Linked DNA regions of Lonchura striata. The protein of the gene in region 2 binds, or shares a complex with, the protein of the main gene of each other region. Links are inferred from orthologs where the notes say so. Each region holds a gene or a part of one and is shown on either strand. Other genes may lie near its edges.

Region 1 (10,089 bases), about 51 Mb from region 2:
GACAAAGCCCAAAGGCATTATCTGAAATTGAAGGCAGGGTAGTTCAGACACGGTGGCTTTTCGCTCAGAGGATCATTACTGCACGGAATAAATGACCTAGCAGGGGCTCTTCAATCCTAATGAATTTTATTCCGGGTTAGCCGTCTCGGCGCTCCATGCGGAGCATCCCGGGCAGTGCCGAGTGCCGGCAGCGCGGCCCGGCAGTGCCACCTTCCGGGAGAGGCAGCCGGGACCCCTCCCCAGCCCGGCCCCAGGGCTGAGCACCGCAGCGAAACCTCGGCCTCCGCCTCCTTCCCTGCCACAGCTGCCCGGCACGGAGCTCAGCCAGCCGCCAGCTCGCTGCGAGGCCGAGCAGCGCCGGGCACCCCGATGCGGCCACCCCGGGGCCGGGCGGGCTCGTTCCGCTCTCTCCCTCCCGACTGGGGGCTGCAACACGTGGCTTTGCAAAGCGATTTTCTGTTTTATTCCAAGAGAGCAAGTTTTCAACAGTCTTAAGAGGGAGCGCACTAAAGATGCCCGTCTAGGATTCCGCCCAGTCCCACATGTGCGCTAGATGCGATGTGGTTAGTTTTGGAAGCTTTTGCTGGTGCTTCTTGGGTGGGGTTTTGTCATTTTCTAGACAAGCATAAGCTGTATCAATTAATAATTACTATTAAAAAAAATATACTCCATTGTGTAGCACCAAAATGAACATTGTGTCTCAGCATCAACAAATAACACACTATTTACTTGCCTTTGTGCAATAGGAGACTGTCATGAAAGCACAGCAGGCTTAGCAACCAAAAAAAAAAAAAAAAAGAGGAAATTCTTACTTTAGGGCCAAAGATTTTCAGGATACCTAGTCATGCTCAGAAGTGTAAAACAAGCATTATTACAAACCTACCCAACTGGCAGTTAAGAAGCCAACAAAGCCCTTTCAAATACACTTCCTCTCCCCCATAGCACTCACAATGTAACTAATGGCCTCTATGCTTTATTTATTTATTTACCTTAAGTAAGCCTTGTTGGAGCAGCTCCCCTGCTGCCCAGGTAGCTGAGTGTGAGCTCAGGTGGGCTGACATCAGACCTATGCTGGCAGCAGCTGCTAGCAGAGGCCTGCTCACATCAGTCACATTTCAAGAATAGACATCAAAATTTGTCTTGCACCACCAAGAACCTGGAACATTCACCTTTCTGCCAGCAACTGTGCAGGATGCAAGAGCGAGGACTGATCTAAATCAGTCTTGCATGTCAGAAGCAAGGAGCAGACCAGGATCCCAGACGTAGCTTCACCTTCTACCCCTCTTCTATCACTACCTTGCAATCTGTGGCTGCTTTAATGGCTCCATTCCACCTTGTGATTGGTTTGCTCCCATCTCCTCACCACCAGGTTTTCTTGACTACTGATCAATTTAACCTTTCAGGTGCTGTTTGCATAAAATAGGAATAGATTGTAAATAAATGGCCACCTGAGCACTACCAGGGAACATAACTCTCTTCCACCTGGCTGATTTTCTGTTTGCTTTAGAAGTTGCTCTTTCACCTGGGAGTAATGACAATCCGCATCAAGAGACAGATGCAAAACTGTTCCTCCAATTATATAATCACTGCAGCTGATAAGGAGGGAGCTGGATTTAGGTTGCCATAGCGTTGGCATATTGCTATGGAGGCTGAGCTCTTCATCCACTTTATCAGCGCTGGACCAGGAAGAGCAGCCCAATTATGCCTGCCGAATGCATGTGCTGCAGACTCGCTCCCACTTGGAAGAAGCACTCTGGATCAGGGGCTGCTTCCTTTCCCCTCCCACCTCATTTCGGTGGAGTGCTTAGGGGTGGGGGTGCTGGGTGGTTTTATTCTTTTTAATCTGCATTCAGTCGGAAGGAGGGTGGTGTTATCTCTAAAGCCCACTGCCCTTCCACCATTGAGGGCTGCCACGGCGCTGCTGCCCCTCCCCAGCTGCACCTCCAGCCGCCCCTCCGAGGCGCTCGGGGCTACCTGGGGGCTCCGCGGGGCTACCTGGGGGCTCCGCGGGGCTACCTGGGGGCTCCGCGGGGCGCGCTCGCCCCCGGAGCAGGTGTTGGATGCCGGCGGGCGGGGGCACGTTTGTCACAGGGAACTTGTCGCCGGCCGAGGAGGGGAGGGGCTGCCCTGAGGACCATGAGGGGGCGATGAGGGAGAAGTTGGCCTGAGGGTTCTGCTGTGGGGAGAGAGACACACACCGCTCCCGGAGGAGCGCTGCTCTTCCCTCGTCGAGGGGAGGAAATGGCTCTGCCTGCTCCGCAACACCGACGTGTGTGTGTGCAGCCAGGGCGGGAGGGGAGGGGAGGGGGTGACACCATGCAGGTAAACGGGATAAAAATAACTTCAGGAACGGCAGATCGGGGTTGGGCGGGGGCGGGGAAGGTTTCTGGAGTTTGGACAAACAAAGTTTTACTACAGGGAATAGCGGGGGACATTTGCTAATGCCGAGGAGCAACAGCACGGGTTGGTATCCATGATGCAGGCGATCCTGCGAGGAGCTCGGCGAGAAATGACTGCCCCACGTAAAACCCAGCTTTCCTTTTAATACAGACACCCCCGGTATCCCTCGTTCTCTCAGCATGAGCGCATGTATGGAGCACATGTGTGTAAACAGATAATTCTCCCTTCCCCTCCCCTTTCGTGCGAGAGATTGGGAATAGCGTAAGGGAAGGGAAGGGCTCCTCTCCCGGTGCCTTAGGAAGCCGTACCCAGATGGAGCTTAGGGGGACCGGGAGGAGGTTAATTGGGAAAGATCCCCTAATTCCGGCGGCCCTGCGAGTTAATTCTCGTTTGACACGGGGGAGCGGCTGCTCCGCGGCTCCCCCGAGCCCCCGGGCCCGGCGCGCAGCCCCCTCACCGGCCGCCCCTCCTCGCCCCTTCGCCTGAGAAGGCGACGACGGCGACTTTAAAGCAACTTTTCTTTGCCCGGGCTTTCCTAAGAAAAGCCGTTCTGAGAGGGGCTGCGGGGGTCTCCCCGGAGCACGCCCGGCCGAGGGGAGCTACGCGCTCCGAATGGAAGCCGGTGTCAAAGGCTGTCCTCTGCCTGTGGCGGCGACTGAGCTGAGCCGGGAGATAAGGGACAAAGGGCAGGGGAGGGAACGGTTGCTAGGTCCTCAGAGGTAAATCTCAGGCTTACCTTGATGGTTTTCTTCTGGAATGTACATCCTCTTGTTTTCATTGACCATTTAAAACGAGTCCAGAATAATCCCTCCGAAAATCGGCTTGGTAAAATTCAAGGAAGAATGGAGCTGCAGAATTTCCCCTTTTATTATTACCTGATTCCCATTATTGCATCAAACACCAAAAACTGATCCTTTCCACTACTGCCTCCTTTAGTGAAATTGCAATGCATCCTCAGTACATCCGGGCCCCTTCCAAGAATTTAGCACAGCACCTCTGGCTGTTAAACCATAAAAAAGAACAGGAAGGGGGGAAACGAGAGGAGGGGTGGGGGGGAAGGAAAAAAAGGCAAAAGCATCCAGGACAAACCTCTGAGGGTTAAATGTCTTTTTAAAATCCACCAACTACAAGATTAACAACAGGAGGAAGAGGGGAAAAAAAGGGGGAGATGTTCAAACGCTGCTGCTCCTCCTCTTCAAAGCCATTCTGAGCGCGTTGTGTTGGCAGGGAGCTGTTTCTGCAGAGGAAGAGAGCACAGTCCCAGCCCCTTACTCCCTCCCCTCCCTCAGCGCTCGCTCCCCGCTCTCTCCCTCTCGCCGACAGACAGACACACTGAACGCTTCCAGATGTTCCAGCTGCGGCGGCTGCACGCAGCTCCCCGCGCACGGCGTTGGGAGACGCCGGACTTGATCTGAAAGTTTAACACGCTGCCTGCCTCCACTGCGCCTGCTGAAGCCTCGCCACAGACATGACGTCAAGGAGGCGAGCTGGAGCCGGCTGCTGCCTGGGGGAGCGGGGGACACGGAGGGGAGCGGCGGGGCCGGGCCGGGCCGCGGCGGGGCCGGACCGGGCAGCGGCACGGCACCGCGCACCGGCCCCGCTCCGACCCGCTGCCTCACCAGCGTGGGCTCTGCCCTGCGGTTCCGCTACGGAATGCGAGTGTGAGCCGCATTTCAAGGAGCACGAAGCCGCCCGCGCGGTGTGCGAGCGCCCAGCGAGGCGGCGGAGCGGGCTGCGGCTCTGTGCGAGCCCCCGCGGCAGGCAGCGGAAGGGAGAGGTACCCAGCGGTGAGCTGCACAGACGAGAGGATGCACAGATGTTTAAACAGATTAATCAAGCTAGGATTTGCAAAATCCTCGGTGGAAACGCCGAAGTGCTCCGCTGGTATCCCACCACTTGCCTTAATTATGCCTGTCATTTGGCCCTCTATAATTGAAGCCTCCGCAGAGAGCAGAAACGACTCCTTTAAAATGAAATGCGAACTGAATGCAGTACATGTTAAACCTATCTGGACTCTCCGAGCTGCCATGTTAAACAAGAGATGCAGAGTCCTAAAACACCCCTCAGAATCACTGCAGAAGCTGCCACAACCCAAAGAACTGAACCACTCTGACATGCACGGAGGTGAACGCTTGGAATACCCTGTCCTAGGAGCAGACCCAGGGCTACAGATTCTCACCATAACCGAGTATCCACCTAACAACACATGCATGCAATACTATTTGTGGAGCTTAAAACACCATGGCTATTTCCTTTCAAGTGGTTTTCCATTTTACATAGGGAAAAAAAAGCGTATAAAAGAAATACTGTTGACCAAACTTAGTATCTTCTCTACAGATGCCTTTCAGTATCAAATATCCATCTCCTCATGAAGCTTTCACCCCTCCACTTTAATTGAGCTCTTTCAGCTGGAGCTCAAAATATTATAGAAAGCACCACCAGCTAACAGATTCATAGAAAGAAACAACAAAAAAAACCCAAACAAACAAACAAACAAACAAAAAAAAACCAAAAAAAAACAAAAAAAAAAAAGAAACCCCACCACACAACACATCAATTTGGAACTACAAAAACTAGAATAGATGTAAAGCACTTACCAAAAACTTGATGCAGCCAAATCACTTGTCCTAAATAAAGGTCATTGTTGTTTCTAATAACCACCGATCATCACAACTTCTGCATTAGATGCTATTCAAAGGGTAATTAACCAACACCATATTGCCATTGACAGCATGTAGAGGCACAGCTTTATTTCCGACTCAGGAGGAAGAGTTCCTCTGAGCAATTAAAATACTCTGTCCTCTCTTGCCTAGTTTTTCTCTAATAATGTCACATGCACTTACCCATTTCATTTGCCAGATCAGGCAAGATCTTAACTAGAGGTAGAATGGCAATATATTGGCTTTCATTCCTAGTTCAAGTTTCCTTTTTTTCAAAAAGTCATCCTCCCTTCACCATTATAAAAAGGACTGAACAGAAGATACTTCACTGCCTACATTTGTTGTGTAAATGTACATTTTGTTTTTCTCTTGTGACCGCAAATCCTTGCCATTTTGAGTTGTGCTAACTCCAGTTTTTCCATCCATGAGTCAACTGAGCCTTGCATGATTCACCCGTGCATGGACAAGGTATCTTGGGAAGTAAATGCGTACTGATCACCCCTGCCCAGAAATCAAACACTGCTGGAGCACCCGTAAATGTTTCTTTTGCCTTTCTGGGGTCACATCCTCAGCTAGCTGAAGAATAATGTACAGTATTATTTAAGCAGTTAAAATCCACATAGCCCTGCTTTATGCCAGCTCACATATGTATGCAGGCACATACACAAGCTGTCTCTGACACCTACAAATCTTTTCCTCTGTTCTTTATCCCTCTCTCTCTGCCAAGCTCCCACAGTAGGACACAAGTCGGGCCAATAACCAAAAATCAAATACCGAAGAAAAATAGAACAAGAAACAACACTATTAGCTGGCATTAATTTCTCCAGCACAAATAAAATTCTACTATAACTTGAGGTTTCCTTACTCAGCAATTCTAATAAAATAATTTCCTATACAGAGACGTGGAAGGAAACTGATTGTAGGATTAAGATGGAAAGACCCTGCTAATGAATCACGTGGCATAAGAGTGAACACCACACCTTCCCCTAAAGTTTTTGCATTATCCAAACACACAAAGAAGATGTAGTCCATGAAAACAAGATTGGTAAAGAGGTGGTAAAGTAAAGTAAAGCTGCTTGTAAGAGTTTTTCTTAATGTGATTGCTGAAATGTACATTTAATAGGTATTCCATCAGGTAAGAACTTGAGGTATTAACCTTCATAGAAACTAAGAAAATTAGCCTTCTTCAGAGTTCAATCCCCACAGACACACCCAAAGAGGAACATACAAGTGAGAGATAAGCTTTAAAGAAAATTATGAAATAAATATTATTTCAACACAAAACCGATTCAAAAATTCTTAGTCCCTGCCTGATACGGCAGCCAGCAGATTTGGAGGTGAGATGGATAATGGACAATCAGACACAAGGGTATCTCACAGTGGCCTGCTTGTGGATTTTCTTTAAATACATGATGATAGACTGGACAAATGATCTCATGTATATTCAGCCTTAGGCCTCTCTAAGGTGAAGATACAAATTTTCTATCCCATACAGTGGTACAAGTAGAAAAATTGTTCTCCTGTTGCTCTGAGAACAATAGTGATGAGGGCCATATAAAGCACCAAGTCAGAGATTCTTGAAAAAACTGCTATTTAAAGTTGTAAAGTGTCAAAAAATGACTTGCAGGGTACATACTGTGAACATGCAAGTCCATTCTTCGTGTCAGGAATGTTTTGTTCTGTGTACAATATAGCAGCCCTTCCCTGATGTCCAGCCTTATAAAGAGTACACTGGGCACAACAACTTCTTCCAAATCCAGAAGAGAACCTGCATTCATCTTCAGAACAGGAAACACCTGAGTAGGTTGTGCAGGAGAACATTTCCCTGCTTCCAAAAGGAGGAGTTACTGTCATGCTGTATGGAACAAATGGGGCTGGAAAGCAATGAGATTAAGGCAGAGTGTGCAAGAAACTCTGCATTGAACTATTTTTATAATGTATTATTTGTAAGGCTCTTTTAAGCAGCCTCAGTACTCCTAAAATGATGTCAGATTTCCACTGGGCCTATTTCATAGCCTGTCTAATTGTAGTAGATTGTGCTCACACTATATTGGCAGTAATGCCTTCTACTCTAAAAGAAAAGGGTAAATTATTCAAAAGTGGAAAATAAATGCATTTTATCCCAGAAATGGTACTAATGTTCACAATACAAATGCAATTCCTTCCAGGGCCAGCTCAGAGAAACGGTGCCAGAGCCCTGCATTACTTTGCCGAAAGGTATTTTTTCCCCACAGATTTTAGGTTTTGCACCTCTGCCAACAGAGAAGGCTGCTCATAAGAATTTGCACTGTCTTGCACTGAAGACTATGGGATATTATTTTAAATAAATGACCATTCCAGTCTAAAGCAAGAGTCTGAGAAATCCTGGGCACACTAAAGAATCACTGTGCATGAGCAACATAATACTCCTAACAACTCCTGTAATTTCTGACAAGACTGCATTGTTGGGCCACACACAGTAAATACCAGTATTGGGTATTTGCTGGTATTGCATGACTACAATGTAAATTTTTTAAAATGAAATGTTGATGATAACAATTTTTTCTCATATTTCAGGACAGCTGTGTTAAGAATTGTTCTCCCAGTTATTTTTGATGCTTTTGAACTATGCATCATCTAAAACTGCATCATTCTCCACACTTCTTATTTGTTAATGAAAAAAAATTACCTTTTTGAACCTATGAATACAGATTTATAAAAATGTTCCTTATTTTACTTTTGTTGGTTGCTTAATTTTAATTGAAATTAAAGAAATTGATAATCCTATCTAAAGCTATTCAAAGTGTGGTCAGGAAACTGCAGACATTTCAAAATTATCAGCTAGCTAGAACACAAGAGACTTTCTCAAGATGAAAAAAGTCTGGTATGGATGGGAAGCAGAAGACTGATGATCAGAATTTCTAGGTGATTTCATTCCTTAAAATCTGTAACAGTTACATGCACACAGGAAATTTTGAAATTTTATACAGTGAAAAAGATTGATTTTCAAAGTCAAGTTGGGAAATTTAGATGTATTTTTTACATTCAAATTAAAAGAAGTGGTTACTTGACCTTGAAATTTCAGTTATTAGCTTTTATATTTGCATTTAAATGTTTTCAAGCAACTAAGAAATTAGAAGGGAAATGATAAGATTATCAAGGTAGTTGTATGGCCCACTAAAGCATATTAAGGCCTAGTATTAGTAAATGACAGAAAATGTTAGATCTGAGGGAAAAAAAAAAAAAAGAAAGAATTAAATAATTGACTGCTGGGTAGGAAAGTAGCTAGTTAGGAGAATAAATGGTAATTAGACCCAGAAGAGAAGGAAGTAGATGAAATTGATGGCCTTCAAGTAGCTTTTGGTTTTCTAGGTTGCAAAAGGCTCTAGAGAGTAACCTAGGTGTCCAAAAGTGTGATTTTATTCAAATCTCACTGGCTATCCTGGCTGTCAGCTGTGATCTGTGACTCAATGGGTGGTGGCAGAAGTGCTTTTTTAAATTCCAGCTGTAGAAATGGAAGCAGTCACCATTTATCCCTGTAAACAGGGGATTGATGTCTGATTACTGTGCATCAGTGCACAAATCCATGCAGAATTTTAAGATGTAACAGCAAACAACTGCTTCAACACTCTAAAAACAAAATAGGCATTTGTCCCAAGTTAAAACATAAATGCAGCTGTGCTTATCAGACTTGAAAAGAACTTTTACCAGTTTTCATTATGCCATCATCATCATACCTAGCCAGGAGGAAGGTTTAACACCTTTGCAGAATTTAAATACAAAAGTATTGTCTGGAAAAATTTGGTGTCTCTGCCGTAACAGTTTAAGGGAAAGACCCAAACTTAACAAAAATGTTGCACTGCTTCTATTTAAAATAAGAAATAGTTGAGTCTATCTAGATTGGTTAGGTACTGACACAAAGAGATTTAAATTCAGCATTGTTTCATTAGCTTCTGCCAATTAAAAAAAAAAAAAAAAAGAGAAAAAAGAAGAGAGAAAAGCAAAAAAGCAAAATTGTTGTGGTTAATACCAGTCTAAAATCATCAGTTAAACAAGACATGGGCTTATAATGTCTACAAGGAGATGTACAATGAAAAACAAATTTTTCATCCAATCAGCCTACATTGTTGAAAATAATCATGCAAACTCTTGAGTGTATCTTAGATACTTGCCACAGCTTACACAACAAAAAATTGAGCGCTTACTACCGTTTTAATCTTCCATCATAGTTCTAGAAAATACTCAAGAATATGGAGTTTGTAGCTTGTTCTTAACTAAGAACCAAACAGAATTTTGGATTTAGGGCAAGCACAAAAAGACTATTTTGGACGGGAGGGATTCTTCAAAGAATAAATGTTTGCAAGTTGCTGAGGAAGACCTGACAGTGACTAGAATTACATGATGCTGACATTTGGAAACCTCAGTGGACCTAATTAGCAAACAATGAAAACTACACAAAGTGAAAATAAGAAGGCAATGCAGAAAAACACATTTAGCTAGGAAAACCAATTCCAAGTATAAAATTCATAAGCTGAGTTCAAAAGAGAGAAAAAAATTGATGTTAGGGTGGGCTGTAAGACCAAATTCTTTCCTCGTCTTTAGGAATTTAAAGATTCAAAACTTTTAAATATGCTTTGTCAACACAGAAAATTATTGACAAACTCAAGGAAGCTAGCAATTTGGAGTTCTGACAGATTTTGGAGGATTTGCAATAATCACTAATGAGATAAAATAGTCTAAAAATACATCATCTTACGGATCAGCTGCAAGGAAGATGATTAGATTAATTTGTTAAAATACTCCATTACCATGATGTTGGCCTGATATACAATGTCAACATTTCATCTTCAACAATGACTCTTTCTATACTGAAGGGCTACACTGCAGAGTAAGTGTATCTGGTTATAAAGCAATCTTTGTGGTATTCCTCTGGCTGTTTTCCCCCCAATTATTTCTCTCCAAAATGAAGAAAAACACAATTCACCCAGCAATCAACCTCTGTTTCAACTGCAGCAACTTTATTTGATGTGATCTTAAAATCTGTCCCACA
Region 2 (9,727 bases):
GATGAAAAGAAAACATCATAAATGTCATCTATCTACCTCTGGTCACTGGTGACATACAGAAAATGATGCTGAGACCAAGTCTAGCCACACTCTCAGCAGGACCTACACTTGTTAGGTCCATGTGAGGAAGCCAAAAATATGAATGTCCCAGCTGTGCAAGCCCTAATTCATATGACTCATACAGACTTCCCTGAGTCGTCCTAATGACACCAAAACAGCAAAGATGATTCATGCAAGTCAAAAATGTGAAAACACAACTTCTTTTCTAAAAATGTCCTGTCTGCATACATATAGATATACGTTCATACATATACTATTTTTATCTTTATATTATCTTTATCCACCAATGTATGTAAGTGGCAGATCTGTCTTGAATTTAATATTTAATGTGATACATACATACAGAACAAGTGACTGAGGAGGAAAAAATGTTAAATGCTAAAGGAAAGAGAGAAAAGGAGTAGAAGAGGAAAATTAGAGGGGGGATAAAAAGAAAAGACATTAAGATATATCCACAGTGATGCAATAATTACAGAAATAGTCCCAATGATTTTGAAACATTTTATCCATAGTTTTATAAAAATTAAAATATGCTTCATTTGTTTGTTTTTTTCCTTTTTTAATCAGTACAAACAGGTTTATTATCAGAAAGGAGAATGTGTGTCTTTATGTAGTACATTACTCACTATCGGTAACAATATCAACACATGCTGTGCCAAAAAGATACTTAGGAATTACAAGATATACTTAAGACTATTTGTCTTGATGCAGTGTAGAGAAAAGAACAGAAATAATCTGACTCCTCTGCTATCCTTATCAGGCAACATACAAACCTTGTGTATTTAACTGTATGGTTTTTTCTGAAGTCTGTAAACATAATAAATATATAAATATATATGGCTACAAAAAATAAGTGCTTTGCATACTGTTATAGCAGTAGTGGTTATAGTGCTGGGAGTACTACATACAATATTCTCATCTAAGTGCAAAACATCAGCTGTGTTGCAGGTGTAATTAAAGGACTTGGAGTTGCTGTGTTAAAAGTAAGAACATGGTATCTTGTACCAACAAACAGATCCCTAACATATGACACAATTAATATGATACATTTAAATGGAATGCAATATACATCAATCAGCAGCTAAGCCTTATGGCTCAGTCCAAGATACAATTACTACTATACTTCAATAGTTTATTAAAGGACAATCTTCAATATTTGCAGTGAAATATTTCAACACTGGAAGCAAGGAATGCAATAACACCTGCTCAGATTTTCAATGAAAAATTAATGCTAGCATTTCATACAACACAAACCTGCACCTGAAAATCTCTATTTTGCTTTGTAAACAAATCAGGGCCTTTTTACCTTATCAGAGAATTAAAATAAATCAAATTACTAAAATTCTATCACAAAAGCATTGCATAAACCTTCAGCATTTCTTGCTAAGAATACTACATGCTTCTATATTGTTATATTTGTGATAGGGACTCCTGAATGTTTCAGTAAAGACTCATGTTAAAATATTTATTAATGTAGAAGAAACAGATGACTGAAGGAAAAGTGATTGTGCACTAATGAGCTGCTGAAGAAACCATATACTCTATATCCCTGAATATGCACATTTTTCACACAACACAGCTAAGATATCTTCCTTCCTCAGACCAACTTTTTCACTAAGAGAAAAAAGAGACTGAAAATAATGGGGAGAAAGAAGGTACTATGCACATAATATCAGCAAAACTCCAGTTTTTCAATTATTCATATCCTTTCTTTCCTTTATTCTCCTCTCCTCTGTGTTTTTTATTCCTATTTTTAATATTCTTAATATATAATATCTTTTACATTAAGAGCATTTGCGTCACTTCTCTTTGTTCTTTCCCATTTGTAATTTTTAGTAAGAAATGAAACACTGCTGTCAAGTCTTAAAGAAGATTAGAAAAATTGCTTTCTCCTTCACCTGTTACATCATTACTTTTTGCCAAACAGCTCTCCCTGCATCAACCTGTTGTGCGCTGCCTTCCAAACAAACTAAGCCTTGCTTGCACTTTGATGCCATTTCAAAGGGGAAACAGTAGTGAGGGATGCACAGTCACTATAGATTGTTTCTGCAATATTGCAATGGAATAACAATGAGGAAAAAAAAGAGAGTAAACAGCAAGTAGATTGTGCAGAACATGGAAATGTTGATGACTAACATAATATTCTGAATTACTTTATCATAGATATATTTATAATTAAAGTTATATGTTTCACTGTTGTCAAGTTCTAGTATCATGATTGTCAATAAAGGTAAATTCGGAAGGAAATTAGCAAAAATAGATGGGGAGACAAAAACAGTTTTAAAAGAATATCACATATTCTTAGGTTAAAAAGTAATCTGGACTTCTATTTGGATATATACATAATCTTTTTATATTATATTCTTTTAATTTCACTGGGTTCCATTTTTCTTTCTTTTTTAAACCCAGAAAAATCCCCACAGAAGATAAACTGTAATTAGATGTGTATGATAACCTTATCAGCTCAGTGAGAAACCACAAATATCAGAGCTCAAAAAATCGTAAATATGGGAGAAACACAAGAAAACAATGAATTAAAAAGCCCTGGGTTTGTATTTTGCTACACTTGCTTCTACATGGCACATCTTTATAAACTGCTACACGAGAATGTTTTAAAAGGTAATTTTCTCTAAAATGGAAAACTGTATTTATTCAACTTAGAAAATACTAAGTGTTTATTCCACACTTATTTTTGTGGTCCTTTCATTTAACAGTGCGAGCATCCCTTTGAGTCTTTCATAATGGAACCGATACACAGAACTGAATCCAATTATAACAACCTACCAGCAGTACTAATTGGTGAAAATGCATTGTCGGTAATTACTGCAAGGCATCCTTCTACCCAGGATGAATGACACCAATAAATTCTACCCAATGTTAAACAATAAGAAAAGACTACCATTAGCACTGTTTTTCTTATGTAAAATGCATTAAAGTGAGTCATCCACTTAAAAGTTACCTACTGGTAGCTGTAACCCAGATTCGAGAACTAAGGTAAGTGCTTAAAAAAAAAAAAAAAAAAAAAACCCAACCGAACAAAAAGACTATAAATATAATGAGGTGAGAGAGAAGAAAAAGGAAGAAAACACGATCACATCGTGCTTTGCTTTGTCGTGGATATTTTTTCCTATCTGTAGGCGAATCTTCAATATGTATTGTCTTTCCTTTTGCCTTTCTTTTATTGCATCATTATTATTTGATCTTTGCACTGCTCTGGGCAACACTTTCATGCTAATAATTCTGCAGCGCTTTAAAGATTTCTATCTCAGGGCCAGGCAAGGCACCGAGCTGCGTGCACCGCGAGCATCCTTCAGCTCTCGCGAAGATATTTCGGAGAAGTAAGGCTCGGCAAGGCCAAGGCTGAAGAAATCCCTCCTTCGGCTGGGTGGCTTTAAGCGTGCCAAAGCCCCTCCGCGGGACCCACCGCAGCCCCGAGCCCCGCGGGTGCGCTGGAGCCCGGCCAGGCAGGAGGCAGCCGGGGCTCGGAACTCGCAGCCGTGCCCGCCTGCCCCGCTTCCCATGCCGCCCGCGGAAAGGCAACGAAATCCGCCTTCCGCGTGGATTTCGATAAAACTGCCGAAGTTTTCAGGTTTTTTTATATAAACAATGTTGAAACTCCATCCCGGCTGGAATAACCTCTGTGGGAGGAAGGGGCGGACTCTGTGTAACTCGAAACTTTCTTCTCCACAAGGATGACCCGACGGGGTATATTTGGGAGCCGCTCCGGAGCGGGATTCCAAGGCGAAGCCTTTACCTCAAAAGTCCCGCCGCCGGCCGTCACCGGAGCTTCCCCCTCCCGGAGATCGCCCCGGCGGGACCTTCACCTACCCTGACTCTTTTAAGAAAAAGCTGCCGAAATCCTACAATTTCCCCCGATCTGCACTTTCCGCCCGGTCTAACTTGATTTCCCTTTGTATTGTCGCTGTCCCTGGCGCCGAGGAGCGCCCCCGCCCCGGCCGTGCCCCCGCCCGGACCCCCGGACCCCGCTGGGACTTACGTGGTGGCCGAGGGGAAGGGTCCCTCCGAGGAGTGGTTCATCACCACGGACTGGAAAAGTGTCAGGATAAAGACCAGAAGCCAGCCAGCAGCCATCTTCCTGATCGAAGATCGATCCCCCTTCCCCAAGTCGGCGAGACGGCAGTAATAATAAATTCAATTATCGTGTGTGGCGGTGCGGGGGGGGCCGTGGTTCTTTAAAGCCTCCTCCGCTCCCCCCACCCGCCCCCTCGCAGGAGGCGCAGCCCAGAGATGCGCGGAAAAGCGGGAGCGCGGCCGAGGGTGGGGAGGAGGAGAAACGATGGAGATCTGTGGGTGGAGTGGGGGAAGAGGCGAAACACAGAAAAGAGAGCGAGCGAGAGATACTCCACTCTCTGCTACTCCAGCAGCAGCTCCAGCTCCATCTGATCCGCCGCCATCAGCGCTACTTTTGTAACAGATCCCACTCTGCGTGTGTGTGCGCGCGTCCTTCCCCGATTTATTCCACTGATTGCAGAGCAGAAAGAGGAGGAGAGAGGCAGGCGGGGTGGCGGCTCCTGGAAGAAGAGGAGGGAAGCGGGCGGTAGAGTTGGAGACGGGCGGATCGCTGCCGGCTCCTGCCTTCCCTGCCGGCAGCGGGGAAAGTGGCGGCGAGCGGCGGGGGCGGGCGCCGGGCGCTGCGGCGGCCGCGCTCCATACAAGGCTCCCAGGAACTCGCGGCCGGGCCGCCCCGGGGCCGCGCTGCCGCCGCCCCGCCCCGCCCCGCGCAGCCCGCACGCTATTTTTAAAACCGCTTCGTGCCTTCTTCTAATTCCAGCCCCCTCCTCCCTTCTCGGCGGCAGCAGCAGCCGCACGCGGCCCGTGTGCCAGCAGTCGGGGCTGCGATTTAAATAGGTATTTAATGGATGTAGCCGTACATGCCGCTCTCCCCGCGGAGCCCGCCCGGCCCCCGCCCCTCGCAGCGTCCCGGGGCCGCACCGTCCCTGAGCGCCGCCCCCGGGCACGGCCGGGGGTCCTCGGGCTTCGCCCCCGCCCCGCCGCATCGCTAACCCACTTATTCATTTCACATCCCTCTGGAAATTCAGAGGGCGAACTCCCTCCCGACTCCTTTCGTTTGCCCGTGTTCACGCACGCCAGTCTCTGTGGCAACTGTACACTCTCGGTATAAATGTAGAAAGTAATCCAGGAAAATATTTCTTAGCTTATTTGTTAAAGCAGTTAAAAGTTCAGTGAAAATTTTTGTTTTCTTTTCGATCTGTAGGTTGTTTTTCTTTGTTGTTTTTTTTTTTTATTCTTTGTATGTGCTTACATATTTATATTTTAATATATTCACTTAGTTCAACAGGTGAAGATAAAGGAGCAGACCCAGTATTCATTTTCTTTTTGCATCCTTTGTATTTAAGGATCGCATCTTGAATGTATTAACTCACAACCATTTCTATAAAACAGAAAAGTGCTCATCTTTATTTTAAAGGTGGCAAAGGGATCAAAACTGAGATGCACAAATGAAGAACTGAGTGCTCACATTGCCCGGGCTCAAAGCCAGCACAATATTTCAGTTGCAATCTGTAAAGCATGCAGTCACTCATCTACATTGTTTCTGGATTGGAGCTGGCACTTGGGAGCTGGTGGGAAGAACTCCCAGTTGTCTTCACCTATCCACCTACCTATAGGTACGTAGGATTCATCAGGGTTTGGATGCAAGTTTGAAATAGCATTTTCTAAAATGATTCTGCAGCCTTTAGACTCAAACAGTCTGAAGAGTATCTATAGCTCAGCTTTTGTTGCTTTCCCTAGGCCTGACAGTTTTGCCACATGAAGTGGCACCTCTTTGGGTACTTACCTGTAACTGCTGAGCTGAGTACCTCTGCTTCCCCACGGGGATGTCAAGGGTACCAGCACAGTCATGGCCCTGTGGCACAAAAGTTCTGCTTCATATGAGACATATTGTGAGGAGATCTGGGATAGAAAGATGTAGGGAATGGATTAAAGTCTTGGAGAAAGGCACAGAGGAAAGGGGCTGGATATGTGAACTAGTACAGGTTGCACAAGACCATGACAAATTTATTTAGATAAAGTAATTTACTATGACAAAGCTCCTCATTTTTGGGCTCTCACACTAAGAGTAGCAGTAAATATTGAACAAAAATACTGATTCTGCTCCTTGATAGGACTCTGAAGTTTAGCTCAAATTCATGCCTAAACTCTGCTGAGTAACCAGAAACCAGATGTTCTTCAGTTAGTTAGTTGTGCCCCAAAACACCTACAGTTTTGCACTGAGCAGAACAGTAATAGATTAACACTGGCAACACCCCTCCAGAATAAATGAGAATGCCCCACCTGGTTCCTTCCTTACCTGAATGATCAAGCATATGCCCATTTCTTCTCAGCAGGAAAGCGTTCATGTTAAATTCCCAGCAGGACTGCCTCCAAGGGCCTGTTGAGCAAGCTCTGGGCACTAAGCTGAGAAAGAGGTGCTCTCCCAGAGGAGAACCCACCGGAGTGGCAAACAGAAAAGTACTGACATGTTAGTGTGGGAAAGAGAGGGTACAAGTAACTGCAAAACATACAGAGGAAATGGTTTCAGTAGGGCAGAATAAGCAAGCCCACCCTTACTCACAAGTACTGTTTCAATATAATGTAAAGGAGACCAGAAGATCAGGGAGTGATAACATCAAATAATAAATAAATAATTAAAGGGCTACACAGGAATGTTTCTTTCATCATTAATATAATTTTCTGCAAGCTTCATTTCTGATGCTTATAGAGCTTCTTAGGGCAATAATTATAGCTGCAAATAGTTCCAACAACAGTAACACGTGGCTAACAATTGAACTGTGCAATGCATGGATTGCTTAACACCTCAGCTAGGGTAGGGTATGGATTAATCAGCACTAATACACTGAACAACAGCTGAAAAATGAAAAAGATTCCAGAGAAAATACTGCTATGATTTATCAAAGAAGTATTCAAAGCTTGCAATTTACTGTGCTATTTACAACTATATAACAAGACTCTCTGCAAGCTAATCCTACTGGGAACAGCGTGAGTGCCTGTGGAGCTCACTGAAACCCGGGGATGAAAGAGAGAAGTTGTCTGTGTGTGGCTGCAGCGTGGAGGAGCATGGAGCTCAGGTTAGCTCCCAGCAAGCTGCTTGAGGCGTGGAGGAGCAGCCAGGGCTGGAAAATGGAGCTTGACCAGGGATGTGGCATTCTGGAAGGTCTGTGATCGACCTGCAAGCTTTTCAGGATTTACAAGTAAGCTTGAACTGAAGCCCAGTTTTGAGAAAAGGTGGAATCAAATAACAGTTTTCCTGTAAAATTAAGTAAGGTTGGAGGTCAGGTTTTATAGTCTTGCCTTTTTTTGAATCTGAAAATCAGGAATCCACTGCTAGCCTGAAGCATGGGGAAGAAAAGAAAGCAGGACTTTTTCCATGAACAATTTGTTATTTACTAATCACCCACTCTTTTTTTTAAATCTTTTTTATATTAGTGGCCTAAAATTTCATTAATTTTCCAAGTATTTAATAAATATGCAGAATATTTAGAAATGCTGACCTCATCCTACAGTGTATGAACATGAGTAACAGGCCTCAAAGTTTCCATTACCTTCAATGAGAAAGTGTGATTGACATAAAACATAAAATTAGCAGAGTTAAGTTTCTTGGTATGTCTTCACCCTCCCATAATGCAGAAAAAAGAAGCACAAATGTAGTGTCATCATGAAGTTTTAAAAAGCCATTCAAGTGTCCTAAACAATCAGTTTCCTTACATTTGCCAATTGAACTATTTTCTTATATAGTCACTGTTTAAAATACATGGTTTGTACTTCACAGTAACATTGCACTGCAGAAATTCTTATAATTTATCTGCACTGAGATTCCTAAAGATCTATTACAGCTAACAAATCTTTTTCTTTATGCACTTGAATGACAAACAACAAAAGTAAATTTTTTTCATTCTTACTTCACTTCATTCTAAATTTATTTATGTCATGTCTGACCGAGATCTTTCTGTGAAGGAGCACAGGAGCAACAGGTATTGATAGAATGAGGCACCTTTTGGAAAGTTTTCTGTGTATCTGTTTGGAGGACTTGGCAGATTTAGGCTTGTGGTTGGACTCTTACCTTAAAGGTCCTTTCCAGCCTAAAAGATTCTGTGATTTCATTCTATGATTCTACTGCAAGTACTGAAAATCACTCAACTGACCATAGTAGTCCATATGTCAGAAAAAAATTCCTATTGCAAAACTACAAAATGCTGTTTCACAGTTAATCCGTAGCAAATATTAATTCTTGATCAAGCTTTTCTATTTCCATTTCTGTATATATTATTTGTGTTATCATGTCTTATTTACACCATTGCAAATCTAGTATAAAAGACGAAGGAGCATGGCCCTCTGTCTCTTAACCATTTTTTAAAAATCCAAATTGATTACGTTAGTGCCAGAATTAAAGTTGTATTAATGTGGTTTTATGCTTGTATATAAACTTATTCTTCAGTAATCAGCATTTTCAGAAAAATTCTTGGCAGTGCAGTGACTGCAGCACTTGTGTGAATAGATGGGACACAGTTACCAAGGGCCTCAAGTGTCTTTTGTGGGGGTGTTATAGGCAATAAATCTGTACTGGCTTTATTCTTGCCAGCCCTTTGCCGTAAGAAGCATTTTGCTGAGCACATTCCACCTTTCTTCTTGGTGTAACACATGCTCCACTAGCTGGAACCCCCAGATGTTACTGGGTTCAGCCAAAATGTGCCTGCTGAAACATGGCAAAAATTGTGTGCATGACCCTGGAGAAGGGTGTAAAGCACAAGCCTGGTGAGGAGTGGCTGAGAGAGCTGGAGATGTTTAGCCTGGATAAAAGGAGGATCAGGGGGGACCTTATCACTGTACAACTGCCTGGAAAGAGGTTGTAGAAAAGTGGGGGTCATTCTCTTCTGTAACAAGTAATAGAACAAGGAGAAATGGCCTCAATTGCATCAGGAAAGGTTTAAATTGGATATTAGAAAAATTTTCCTCATGGAAGGGGTTGTCAAGCACTGTGAAAGAGAAGTGATTGAGTCACCATACCTGGAGGTATTTAAAAAATGTGTAGATGTGGCACATAGGGACATGGTTTAGTGGTGGACTTGGCAGTGCTGGTTTAGCAGTGGAGCTGTATAATCTTAAAAGTCTTTTCCAACCTAAATGATTCTCTGGTTCTACAGTTCTTTGATAATCAATGGCACATACCAAAATACTATTTTCTTCCTGGCATGTAATATCTTCTTTATGTCTGTGTTTCACATGGGGAAGGAGGGGGTAATCTTGCTGAGTAGTTCTCATTCCATTTGCTGGTGCAGGACTGACTAAAGACAGCCTGATCTCAATTTCTAATTTCAGGGGTAAAAATTCTCTTATTGAAGTCTGCACCAGATGGAAATGCAAGATCCAGCCCATTGCAAGTGAGATGAATTGTTTTACATATTTGAATTTGATAAAATTTATATTGCAAAAACTTTGTGACCTACATTCAACAGCAAGATAATCAACACTGTTTTGTTCTCACCATTGCTTTTGTTCATATTTGAGTAAGCATGCTAGATGTGGCAGCAAAACCATCACTATTTGATATGACAGTTTATGCTTTGCTTGTTATTGTCAGATTTGAGGAAAGCATTCATTCTAATTCTAGTCATTAGAGCAGGACTGT
Region 3 (9,324 bases), on a different chromosome or scaffold from region 2:
GCCACAGCTTAATGAGCTCTCTCCAGGGATGTGCTGTCAGGGGTAAGGCTCAGGCCTGCCCACACCTCTGGGATTTGAGGTACCTTTCCAGCTGGTTTGTGCTTATTTATAGGCAGCAGTCCTTGCAGAACCATGGGAGCAGATGAAGCTGAGTCTCTTCCCCTTGATAATGTTGAGTTTTCTGCTGCCCTTCCTGCAGAGATCAGGCTCAGACATCTCCAGCATCTCACCAATGCCAGGGGCAGGCGCTGCACACCAGGAGCTTGGGGTGTTTTTAATGGGATCCCCCATTCCCTGCTCATTAAGTGACAGGAAATTGAGTGTTTTGGCACTAAAGAAATAGAACAATAACCCAGAACCAGGCTGGGAAGCACAGATGCCTGTGGATGGCAAACTGCCAGAGGGAGTGTCTTAGTGCCTGTGCTGGTTCCTTTAAACAACTGCCTGGAAAACCCAATATTGGATTTAAATCCACAACAGGCGGCCTCTGAAGCAGGGAGCACAGATCCCAACACATCTCTGCTGAAGAGGAGAAAAACAACCCTTCTGAGCCAATAAATAGTACAAGCAGAGGGTTGCCTTGACATGGGATTTTTTGGGGGGAGAATCCCACCCCCCTCACTTTGCAGATGCCACCGCTGGGGAATTGTGGAACAATTGGTGCCAGGGGACACCCGAGCCAAGCTGCTCAGAGCAAAGCCAGGATGATGCCGGAGGTATCAGAAAGGGAGAAAGCCCAAAGCCTTCGCCCAAGCCCCCGGGCTCCCGCCTGCCCTGATCATTTCTCAGCCTGACAGAGAGCTCAGCAGCCTCTCCCCAGGCACGAGGCCTCACGCCCGTGACTAATGGTATGTTTTGACATCCCTGAAATACTCCAGCACTTCATTTCAGCCGCAGGGAGCAGGAAGGAAGGAGGGGACATGCTGGTGGGGAGCCGGCACCGGGGAGGGGAGGGTAGAAAGAGCTTTTGCACGAGCAACAGGCAGGGATAAAGCAAAGCAGCATGGAAAACACTCGGGAGATGGATGAGAGGCAGGTTGAGAGCTGGAAGGCACCTGGGGGCCCTGTCTGGTGCCCTCTGCTCCTTGGCTCTGCCTTCCCTGCAGCTCTGTGGAGATGCAAGGCACTGGATTTATCCATCTCCTCCTAAACACACCGCTGGAGTGGGGACACAGGGATGCTCCACTGACCCCCAGCACATGGCTGGGGAGGGATGCAGGATGCTGGAATCCCTGCCCGTGGTTAAAGAGGGATGCAGGGTGCTGGAATCCCTGCCCGTGTTTAAAGAGGGATGCAGGGTGCTGGAATCCCTGCCCGTGGTTAAAGAGGGATGCAGGGTGCTGGAATCCCTGCCCGTGGTTAAAGAGGGATGCAGGGTGCTGGAATCCCTGCCCGTGGTTAAAGAGGGATGCAGGGTGCTGGAATCCCTGCCCGTGGTTAAAGAGGGATGCAGGGTGCTGGAATCCCTGCCCGTGGAGGCAGGAGAAAGCAGTGTGTCCCCAGGCTGCTCCTTTGGACTGTCTCCAGCAGAGGCAGGAAGATGACAGACAGCGGTCCCGGGGGAGGCTAATTAATGAGCATCTTCTGCGTTCCAACAGGCACCTCCGGCCCCGGGGGAGCCAGGGCAGCAAAGAGCATCTCAGCCACCAGCCGAGCTGCTGGCCACCACCATCTGCCAGCCACGGAGAGGAGCAGCCGAAGCCACGGGGGGGATGTGGAGCTTTTCCTGGCAGCTCTCGCTCATCACCAGCTGCTCACGCTGGGGCTCAGGCGGTGCTGCCGCTGCCCAGGGGCTGGGGAGAGCCCAGGGCAGGGGTCTGCGTGGGCTCCACACCACCACGGGCAGTGCCCCGAGAGGCAGAGGGGAAAAAGGGAACGGCCCAAAAGAGAACTGGCCCAAAATGCATCCCTGCCCTGAGGGAAGAGGCTCAGAACACCGCCAGACTCACCCCAATCTAGCAAGCAGAGCAGAAGAGTCACCCCCTGAACTGCATCAGCCCGGGGTCCACCCCTAAATTCCAGCCACGAGCATCCTCAGCGGCAGCCACGGCTGCAGGAATGAGCAGGAACTCCGGCTGCCATCACCCGAGTGCCACTCGCAGAACTTTCCTTGGGTCACTGGGAGCAAGGAGCCGGTCTGGCAGCAGCAGAGGTGCTGGGGGTGTGCCGGGGGGGACTGGTTTCTCTTCTCAGCTGTCACCAAAGTCATCGTTGTGGCTGTGAGTGATTCACAGGAGTGCATGAAAAGCCGTGAGTCACACGCTGGATGCAGTGGGTGGGTGCATTGACTCAGCCACACCGCGGATGGGGCACGGGGGGCTGCAGCCTCACACGGCCCGGGGGACAGGGCTGCTTGCATGGGGTCACGGGCAGTGCTGCCAGAGGTCTCACACACATGCTCAGCTCCCATCAGTGCCCTCAGCAGTGTGGGTGAGCCAGGGGGAGGCTCTGCCTCAGCATCACCCTGTCACCTGCCCCAAAAGGGTGCCAAGGGGCCGGACTGTGCTCTCGCTCAGCCTGTCACTGGCAAAAGGTTTGTACTGTCCTGCGTGGCAGGAGAGGAGGAGGAACCCCCCACAGGTACTCAAGGGGTGCAAATGCTTCCCAAACTACAGCGAACAAACTTTCCAGGTGTTCCAGGACCGCTGAGGAGTGAAGCAACTCTGCCAGGCAGCAGCAGAGAGCAGAGGGGAGTTCAGTGCCAGGGCCTGATGCCACCACCAGCACCAGCTTCACCTCCCAGCCCTGTAGTGCCGCATCCAGGGGGCTCAGCCCACCTGCAGCAGGAAGAGGGGGCTGCAGGAAACCCTCCAAAGGCTCATGTTTGGATGGCACTCGGTCTCTCCAGTCACTCAGCGGGTGATGGCCGAGCCCAGCCTCACCAGAGCAGCCGGCAGCAGCAGCCGAGGCTGCGAGCGCCCGGCTCATCCCGCTGGCAGCGCCTTCAGTCATGCTCTGCCTCCTCTGCCAAAGCAGCCCGGCCGTGGATGGGGAGCAGCCCGGAGTGTCACCGCGCCCCACGGCACCCTGAGCCCGCTGTGCAGCACGGAGCAAGCCCGGAGAGCCGGCTGAGGGAGATGTGAGCCCCGGGGCGCACAGCGTGGGGCAGGCTCCAGGTAGCACCGCTGATGATGCGGGAAGTGTTATCCTGGCCCCGCCGGAGCCACGAGCACCCAAACACACGCTCTGCGACGCAAGAGGAGCTGGGAGAGCCGGAACGACGAGGCAAACAAACCCTGATTTAGGACCCCGCTCGTTCATCACTGTCACCGGCAGCGCCCAGGAGCAGCACCTGGACCCACAGAAAGCCACTGGGTGCAGGGACACAACACGACACGGAGCACTGGGTGCCGAGGGTAGGCAGAGGAGAGGAGCCAAGAGCTCCAACACGTTTGGGAAGCCCTGGGCTGGCAGGGGAGGCGGGCTGGAGCCGGAGCAGCCCAGCGCTGCCCTGCATCCCGGCCAGGGCTCCCCAGGGCAGGGGGACAGAGGGGGTGACACCTCAATCCGGCTTCACCCAGCGCTCCACGAGGGCGGGCAGCCCCCAGAACGGCCCCGCGTACACAGCATCCTCCCCGAGGGTGGCGGGTCCCCCGGGACCCCCAGTCCCCCCCTCCAGAGCACCCTCAGCAGAGAGCCGAGGCTCCCTTAGTACAAACTTTGCGAGAGCCCATCCCCGGCACCTGAGCAACCTCGGGAATGGGAAAAACCACGGGAGCCGGGCTTCAAACTTGGGGTGTCGTCCCAAAGCGCTGCTGGAGCCCCCCAGCTCGCCGCTCGGAACCCACCTGTGGCCGCTGGCCGCCGGCTGCTTCCCCCGCGCTCCAGCCCCGGAGCCCCGCGCATCCCGGAGAGCGGCGGAGACAGAAGGGAGGGGAGGAGGTGTCCACCGGGAATCGCTCAGAGAGAGGAGGAGGAGGAGGAGGAGGAGGATGGAGACAGCCCCAGCTGGCGTCTCCCGACCGTCCCCAACAGGTAGCAGCGAGCGGGGCGGGGATGGGGGGGACACGATGTCCCCGCGGACTTTGGGAGAGCCCAGGGCCACCATCCCGCTAGGCATGGCTTACCTGGGGACAGAGGCATGGATGCGGCCGGGGGTTATTCCAGAGGCATGATTTGTTATGGAAAAAGGAGGAAAAGAGCCCTGGGGAAGGGAGGGGAAAAAAGGGAGGGAGGGGAGAGGAAGAGGGGAGGGAGAGACGAGAGGAGTAGGGAAGGAAGGAAAGGGGGAGGGGGGATAAAACGAATTTTTTTTTTTTTTTTTTTTTAAGGAAGAAAATAGAGACAGTTAAAATCTGTCTCCTGCCCACACAGTGAAAAAAAGAAATTTCTGACAATCGGAGGAAGGGAACTCGCACATAAACCAGAGGGGGCAGACGGGGGATAACAAAGGAGGGAAGGAGCCGAGACAAAACACGGCGGCAACTGTCCGGGCACACAGCCCCTGGCACAGCCCCGGGGCAAGGACGGGGCACACAGCTCCCCTCTGCCCAGCCAGGCCAGCTGGGGTCAGGGGGGCCCAGCAGCAGCACCCACGAATCTGGCAGAGCACCCCCCACTGCCCCCCAGCCCGTGTCAGGGCTCCCCCATCCCTCCTTCTCCTCCTCCCTGTGCACACCAGGGCATGGTGACCACGACAACCAGCCAAAGTGAGGGCACCTGTGGGGACAAGGGACACGGATGCATATCCCCCCCCCCCACCCCACCCTACCCTGATCAGAAATTGCTGCTGGGAAGGGGTTGTGCATTCCGGGCTCCCTCCTTAACCCCATTTGCAGCCTGGTTTGCAGAGGTGCATCTCCTCTCCTTCTGCTTGGGCTCTGGTTGGCTTTCCCAGGCAGTGCCCGTGGACAGCTGGACCTGGAGGGGCAGGGTGGACGGGCTGGAGGTGACACAGCCGCTCTGTGTCACTCGAGGAGCACTGTGTCACCCCCCAGCACTGCCACCGGTGCTGCCAAGGGCTGCTGCTCCAAGGCAGCACACAGATTTCTTATATCCCCCCTGGCACGGCACAGCTGCTGGGCACAGAAGTCCCCAAAATCTCATCACTCCTCTGGGAGACCACATCCTGCGGGCTCCTTTGGGTGGCCCACACCACGATGTCCCTTTGCCTGGGCTTTTTCCTTTCACCACACTGCAGAGTATCCCAGGAAACCCGAGTGGCTTGGCAACGTCCAGCAGCATCCTGGACTTTTTAGCTTCCTGGGCTGGCCACAAAGGCTGCCCCGAAGCTGACCCTGAGCCCGGGCAGGTGCTGCTCCGTGGCACACAACCCTGCTCCGTGGCACACGGGCAGCATTTCTGCTCCTTGTGCTTTGCCAGGACACCGTGTGGCTCTGCAGTGCCCTGCTGGCATCTCTGTCACCCCCTGACAGGGACACTGTGCCACCCAGCCTGGCTGCTGTCTCTTTAAAACCTTCATCCCTAAATCTGAATGAGGGGAATCTTGGAGATGAGTGCTTCATTTAAACATCTCATCCAGCACTCCCTTCATTCATTCATGCTCCTGCCCCAGCACACTCCTGCCAGCACCTCGGGGAGGAAAACCTACATGTTCCCATTCTCCTTGGGATGGATAGAAATCCCTCAAACAACTCCCAGGACCCTGCACACCAAAATCCAGCCCAAGCAAGGCTGTTCTGGCACGTACAGAAGAGTGCAAATGGTGCCACAGGGTCCACTCCTGTCAGTAATTCCCACTCATTCTCTCGTGTTCCCAGAAGCTGGTCCTGATATGGATGAGAACATTCCCTGTTGGAGGGCATCCCTCCAGCTGCCCAGAGCAGGGGCTTTGCCACCATCTCACACCCAGCCCTGCATGCGTGGTGCTCCCAAATCCTGTTTTCCATGGCCTCTCTGCAGCTGGGACTTACCCAGGTGGGAGCCAGCTCGAAGGCTCCGAGAGCACTTCCCCAGTGACAAGGCCAGGGTGTGTTTATTTAAACACACACGTGCTGCTCCTTGGGGACCAGGGATGCCTTGGATTCGGATGTCTCCATGGTTACCTGCTCACGGTGGGAGCTGGGGGTGATTGAACTCTGAAGAGTTCACCATCCACCACCCATCTCCCTGGGCTCCGCTCTGCCTCCCCAGCAAGGCTGCTCCAGCTCCAGAGCAGCAGGAGGGGGAGGAGAAGCCAGGTTCTCCCCAAGAACTCGTTACGTGAAGAATTTTGCCGGCTCCGTGGATGACTGGGCACGAATGCAGATCAGCTTCCTCATCCCGAAAGAAAAGACATTCCTGATCGGCACCGAGACAAAGCTGAGCATCTCCTCCCACCACCCAGAGCCAGACAGGAGTGAAATACGGAGCGACAGCATCAGGAGCAGCACCGACATCCCGGCACGGAGCTGCTGTCATCCCTGGGGAGCAGCGGCGCTGCCGGCATTCCCAAGGAGCTGCAGGAGCTTCCCCCAGCCCTGCGGGGTGAGAGTCCAAGGGAAAGAGCCAAAAAACGCGGGGCTGCAAAGCCCAGCTAGGCAGGAATGAGCATTTCTACATGCAAGGGCGTCTGACTTTGAGCAAAGCCTCAAAGGTTCGTGGAAGCACCTGCAGATGCCTGAGCCTGTTGTCCAAAGCACTTGGAGCTGATCCATGGGCTCTGCTGACCCTCATCCCACCCAGCAGCACTGTGCAGAGTAACCTCAAGGACCTCCAAGGTTCTAACCCACAGCACAGCACAAAATCCCATCTGGTTTTCCTCCTCCCCACTCATACAGCCACAAACATTCCAGGTGCAGACTATCAGGGGGCAGCTCAGAGGGTGACCAGAGACCAGCAAAGCACAACTTGATGGGGAAAAATTTGCCTGGAAGAATTGGATTTGTCTAGTCTGGAAATCCAGAAGAGATTGGGTAGCAGTCTTCAATTATGTAAAGGGTTGCTGCAAAGGGTGTGAGAATAAATTGTTCTGCATCCCAACAGGGATTCTCTTCTTCCACAGGCAATAGGACGAGGCTGTAAATTGTAGATTAGACTAGAAAACAACCACCTCAATGGCAAGGATTATTTAAATTGTGGGACAGACAACAGGGAAGCTGCTGGGATTTGAGAGCAGGCGAGACAAACACCAGTGAGGTGGGCTGGAGGAAGCAGTGTGAGACTGGGAATGGACCCCCATGCGAGCTCTGCTCTTCCCCAGGCATTTTAGCACTCAGTGCCTACCTCGAGCTGACTTTTCACTGCTTTCTGCCAAGCAGGAGTGGACCAACAGCTTTTCTGAGGGTGATGCCTGCACCTTCTGCAGTGCCCATGCTCTCTGTCCTGTGCTTAGGACCCACAGCACATCAGGGAACACCACCCAGGGACCACCTCCCCTCCCAGGGAAGCTGCAGCAGGATGTCATCACCCACCCTCTACGTCCCAGCAGGAATTAGTGGTGGGGTGCAGCTCCCCACCCTCTCTGGAGCCATCAGTGCCTGTAAAGTTGACCAGTCTGGATCAGAAACTCCAGCTCTTTATGCCCCTTTTGAGTACCACACTCGTGCCTTTCAAGCTGAGCTGTGTGTTTTTTCTACCAAATCAGCCTGTGGGGAGTTTAAACAGAGCTAAAGAGACAAGAGATGAAGCCCAGGGCCAGCTGAAAGCAGCTTTAAAAACAAAGAAGCCCAGTGTACTCAGCAAAACCTCCAGCCCAGCTGCCAAATTGCCTGCTGGTCCCATAGGTGGTGATAGCAGGAGAGATCCAGATATTCAGATTTCCATCAGGAACAAGCCCTGCTGCCCTGGAGAGAGGAAGTTGCAATTGCCACAGGGAAGAGAAATTGGGCAAGGGGTGCTGTGTGCCTTCCACAGCTGGTAAATACTCAGAATTCTACCCTGGGGTGAAAAAAGCACTTTCCAGTAAATTCCACATGCTCACACTAAGGTTTGTCCCCAAGGAGCTGCCTGTGCCAAACTACAGACTTCTGTTTAACAACAGGAGAGCACATGGAACTTGAAACATCTTTAATAATATTTACCCTCTCGCAATAATATCAACGCTAACAAGGCCAGAGAAGAAAAAAAATCATCCTACATCTCAGGATGTTTATGTAAAGTGAGACTAAACTTTCCCAAAGTAGGAATTTTTCAAAAACCAGACAATCCTCCCTGGAAAAAAAAAAAAAAATAAAATTTCAGTAATAAATTTATGAGATGAGGTTGCAAAAGAAAAATACCAGAGTCCTGTGGGAGACAGACAAAAACATGGAACTTTCTCTTTTGGGACTGTACTTTTGGCCAGCTGAATCACAGGGAATCTGCATCCTGAATGGGATGATCAAGAAGCACGAAATTTGTCTGAAAAAAACCTCCTAAAAATCTCATTCACCCATCAGCTACTGCAGACTGCAAAAAGAAATATCAGCAAATAAAAATATCAGCGAATACAAATTTCAGCAAATACAAATTTCAGCAAATAAAAACTTCTGCAAATAAAAATTTCAGCAAATAAAAATTTCAGCAAATAAAAATTTCAGCAAATTTCCCTCTGAATGCTCTGGCTGAATTTTGTCACCTGGGTTATCACCAAACAGGCAGCAGCTCCAGCCTGTCACTGAAACCTGAGCACAAAGGAGAAGCCTTTGCCCTGCCTGCTGCTCCACCTCCGACCCTCAGTTTATATTCCATTTCTGAAACAAGTGCTGTTCTCCACTTCCCAAATCCTACCTTTCAGCTGGAGCACAGATTTTCTTGGCACTCGTTCTGCCTCGCTGCCCAGCCTCCTGTGTTTAAAATGTCTCTGCCATGTGGGAAGCACGCAGGGACCTCTGCTCTTCCCTGTCCCTCTGTGGCTGCAGGTGCCTGCATTTCAGCACAGATATTTTTATCCACTTCCCCACCCTCCCCATCCCTGTTTGACTCAAATCTGAGCCATTCCACAGGGTCTGTCTCACAGCCCAGTCAACACAAGGGGAACTGGTGCCAAAAACCCATTTCTTTCTGATCTGATTGTTTGTTTTCCTGCCTTTCCAGTTTGGGATTTTTGACAGGGAGCCATGTGAAACCAACTGCTCATTGTTTACTGGGAAGCCTGCGGCGGCGTTTCAGTCATTTCGCTCGCCAGAGGACCCGAGGAGATGATGGAAAGTCAATTAGCTCCCTGCAAAAACCTCTTTGCCAAAGCTCTTTGGTGTCCACGCACGCAGAAAAGCCAACCCAAACAAGTGGCCAGGCAGGACCAGGGCAAAGCTGCTCCTTGCTCTGCTGCCCAGTTTCCTCCTCCCCTGCTCCACAAAAACCACCCTGCTCCTTATCCAGAGGGTTTGGAGAGAAACCCAACAGGGCAGAGTTCCTGAGAGGGCAGCTCCATCATCCAGCATCTTCCCAGCTCCTCCAAAAAGC

Evidence for each region.
Region 1: the proteins of CACNA2D1 (region 2) and CACNA1C are in contact, whole or in part, in a cryo-EM structure (PDB 8WEA), measured with the Homo sapiens proteins. The link is inferred for Lonchura striata from reciprocal best matches to the Homo sapiens genes CACNA2D1 and CACNA1C. Residues at the interface, in NP_001353796.1 of Homo sapiens: Thr170, Asp171, Tyr173, Ile233, Leu235, Gly262, Ser263, Ser265, Lys270, Thr274, Ala327, Lys328, Gly329, Ile330, Glu366, Gln391, His392, Tyr394, Ile416, Gly417; in NP_955630.3 of Homo sapiens: Phe147, Pro148, Glu149, Asp150, Asp151, Ser152, Asn153, Ala154, Asn678, Lys1090, Gly1091, Asn1092, Tyr1093, Ile1094, Tyr1096, Gly1099, Val1101, Pro1104, Ile1106, Arg1109, Tyr1156.
Region 3: the proteins of CACNA2D1 (region 2) and CACNA1E are in contact, whole or in part, in a cryo-EM structure (PDB 8EPM), measured with the Homo sapiens proteins. The link is inferred for Lonchura striata from reciprocal best matches to the Homo sapiens genes CACNA2D1 and CACNA1E. Residues at the interface, in NP_001353796.1 of Homo sapiens: Thr170, Asp171, Tyr173, Ile233, Leu235, Ser261, Gly262, Ser263, Ser265, Gly266, Leu267, Lys270, Ala327, Lys328, Gly329, Ile330, Thr331, Glu366, Gln391, Asn393, Tyr394, Ile416, Gly417; in NP_001192222.1 of Homo sapiens: Gln110, Leu112, Pro113, Glu114, Asp115, Asp116, Lys117, Pro119, Arg122, Asn630, Phe631, Asn632, Asp633, Gly634, Ile1330, Gly1331, Asn1332, Val1334, His1336, Met1341, Val1343, Arg1346, Arg1393, Ser1394.

The regions. Positions count from the first base shown.
Region 1 is NC_134607.1:12,784,158-12,794,246, reverse strand, and holds the start of CACNA1C (voltage-dependent L-type calcium channel subunit alpha-1C), read right to left. Parts: upstream 3,824-10,089; 5' UTR 3,186-3,823; coding exon 3,137-3,185; intron 1-3,136. UniProt on the Homo sapiens protein: Pore-forming, alpha-1C subunit of the voltage-gated calcium channel that gives rise to L-type calcium currents. Mediates influx of calcium ions into the cytoplasm, and thereby triggers calcium release from the sarcoplasm.
Region 2 is NC_134607.1:63,576,299-63,586,025, forward strand, and holds the start of CACNA2D1 (voltage-dependent calcium channel subunit alpha-2/delta-1), read right to left. Parts: upstream 4,267-9,727; 5' UTR 4,153-4,266; coding exon 4,058-4,152; intron 1-4,057. UniProt on the Homo sapiens protein: The alpha-2/delta subunit of voltage-dependent calcium channels regulates calcium current density and activation/inactivation kinetics of the calcium channel. Plays an important role in excitation-contraction coupling.
Region 3 is NC_134611.1:2,000,735-2,010,058, forward strand, and holds the start of CACNA1E (voltage-dependent R-type calcium channel subunit alpha-1E), read right to left. Parts: upstream 3,885-9,324; 5' UTR 3,789-3,884; intron 1-3,788. UniProt on the Homo sapiens protein: Voltage-sensitive calcium channels (VSCC) mediate the entry of calcium ions into excitable cells.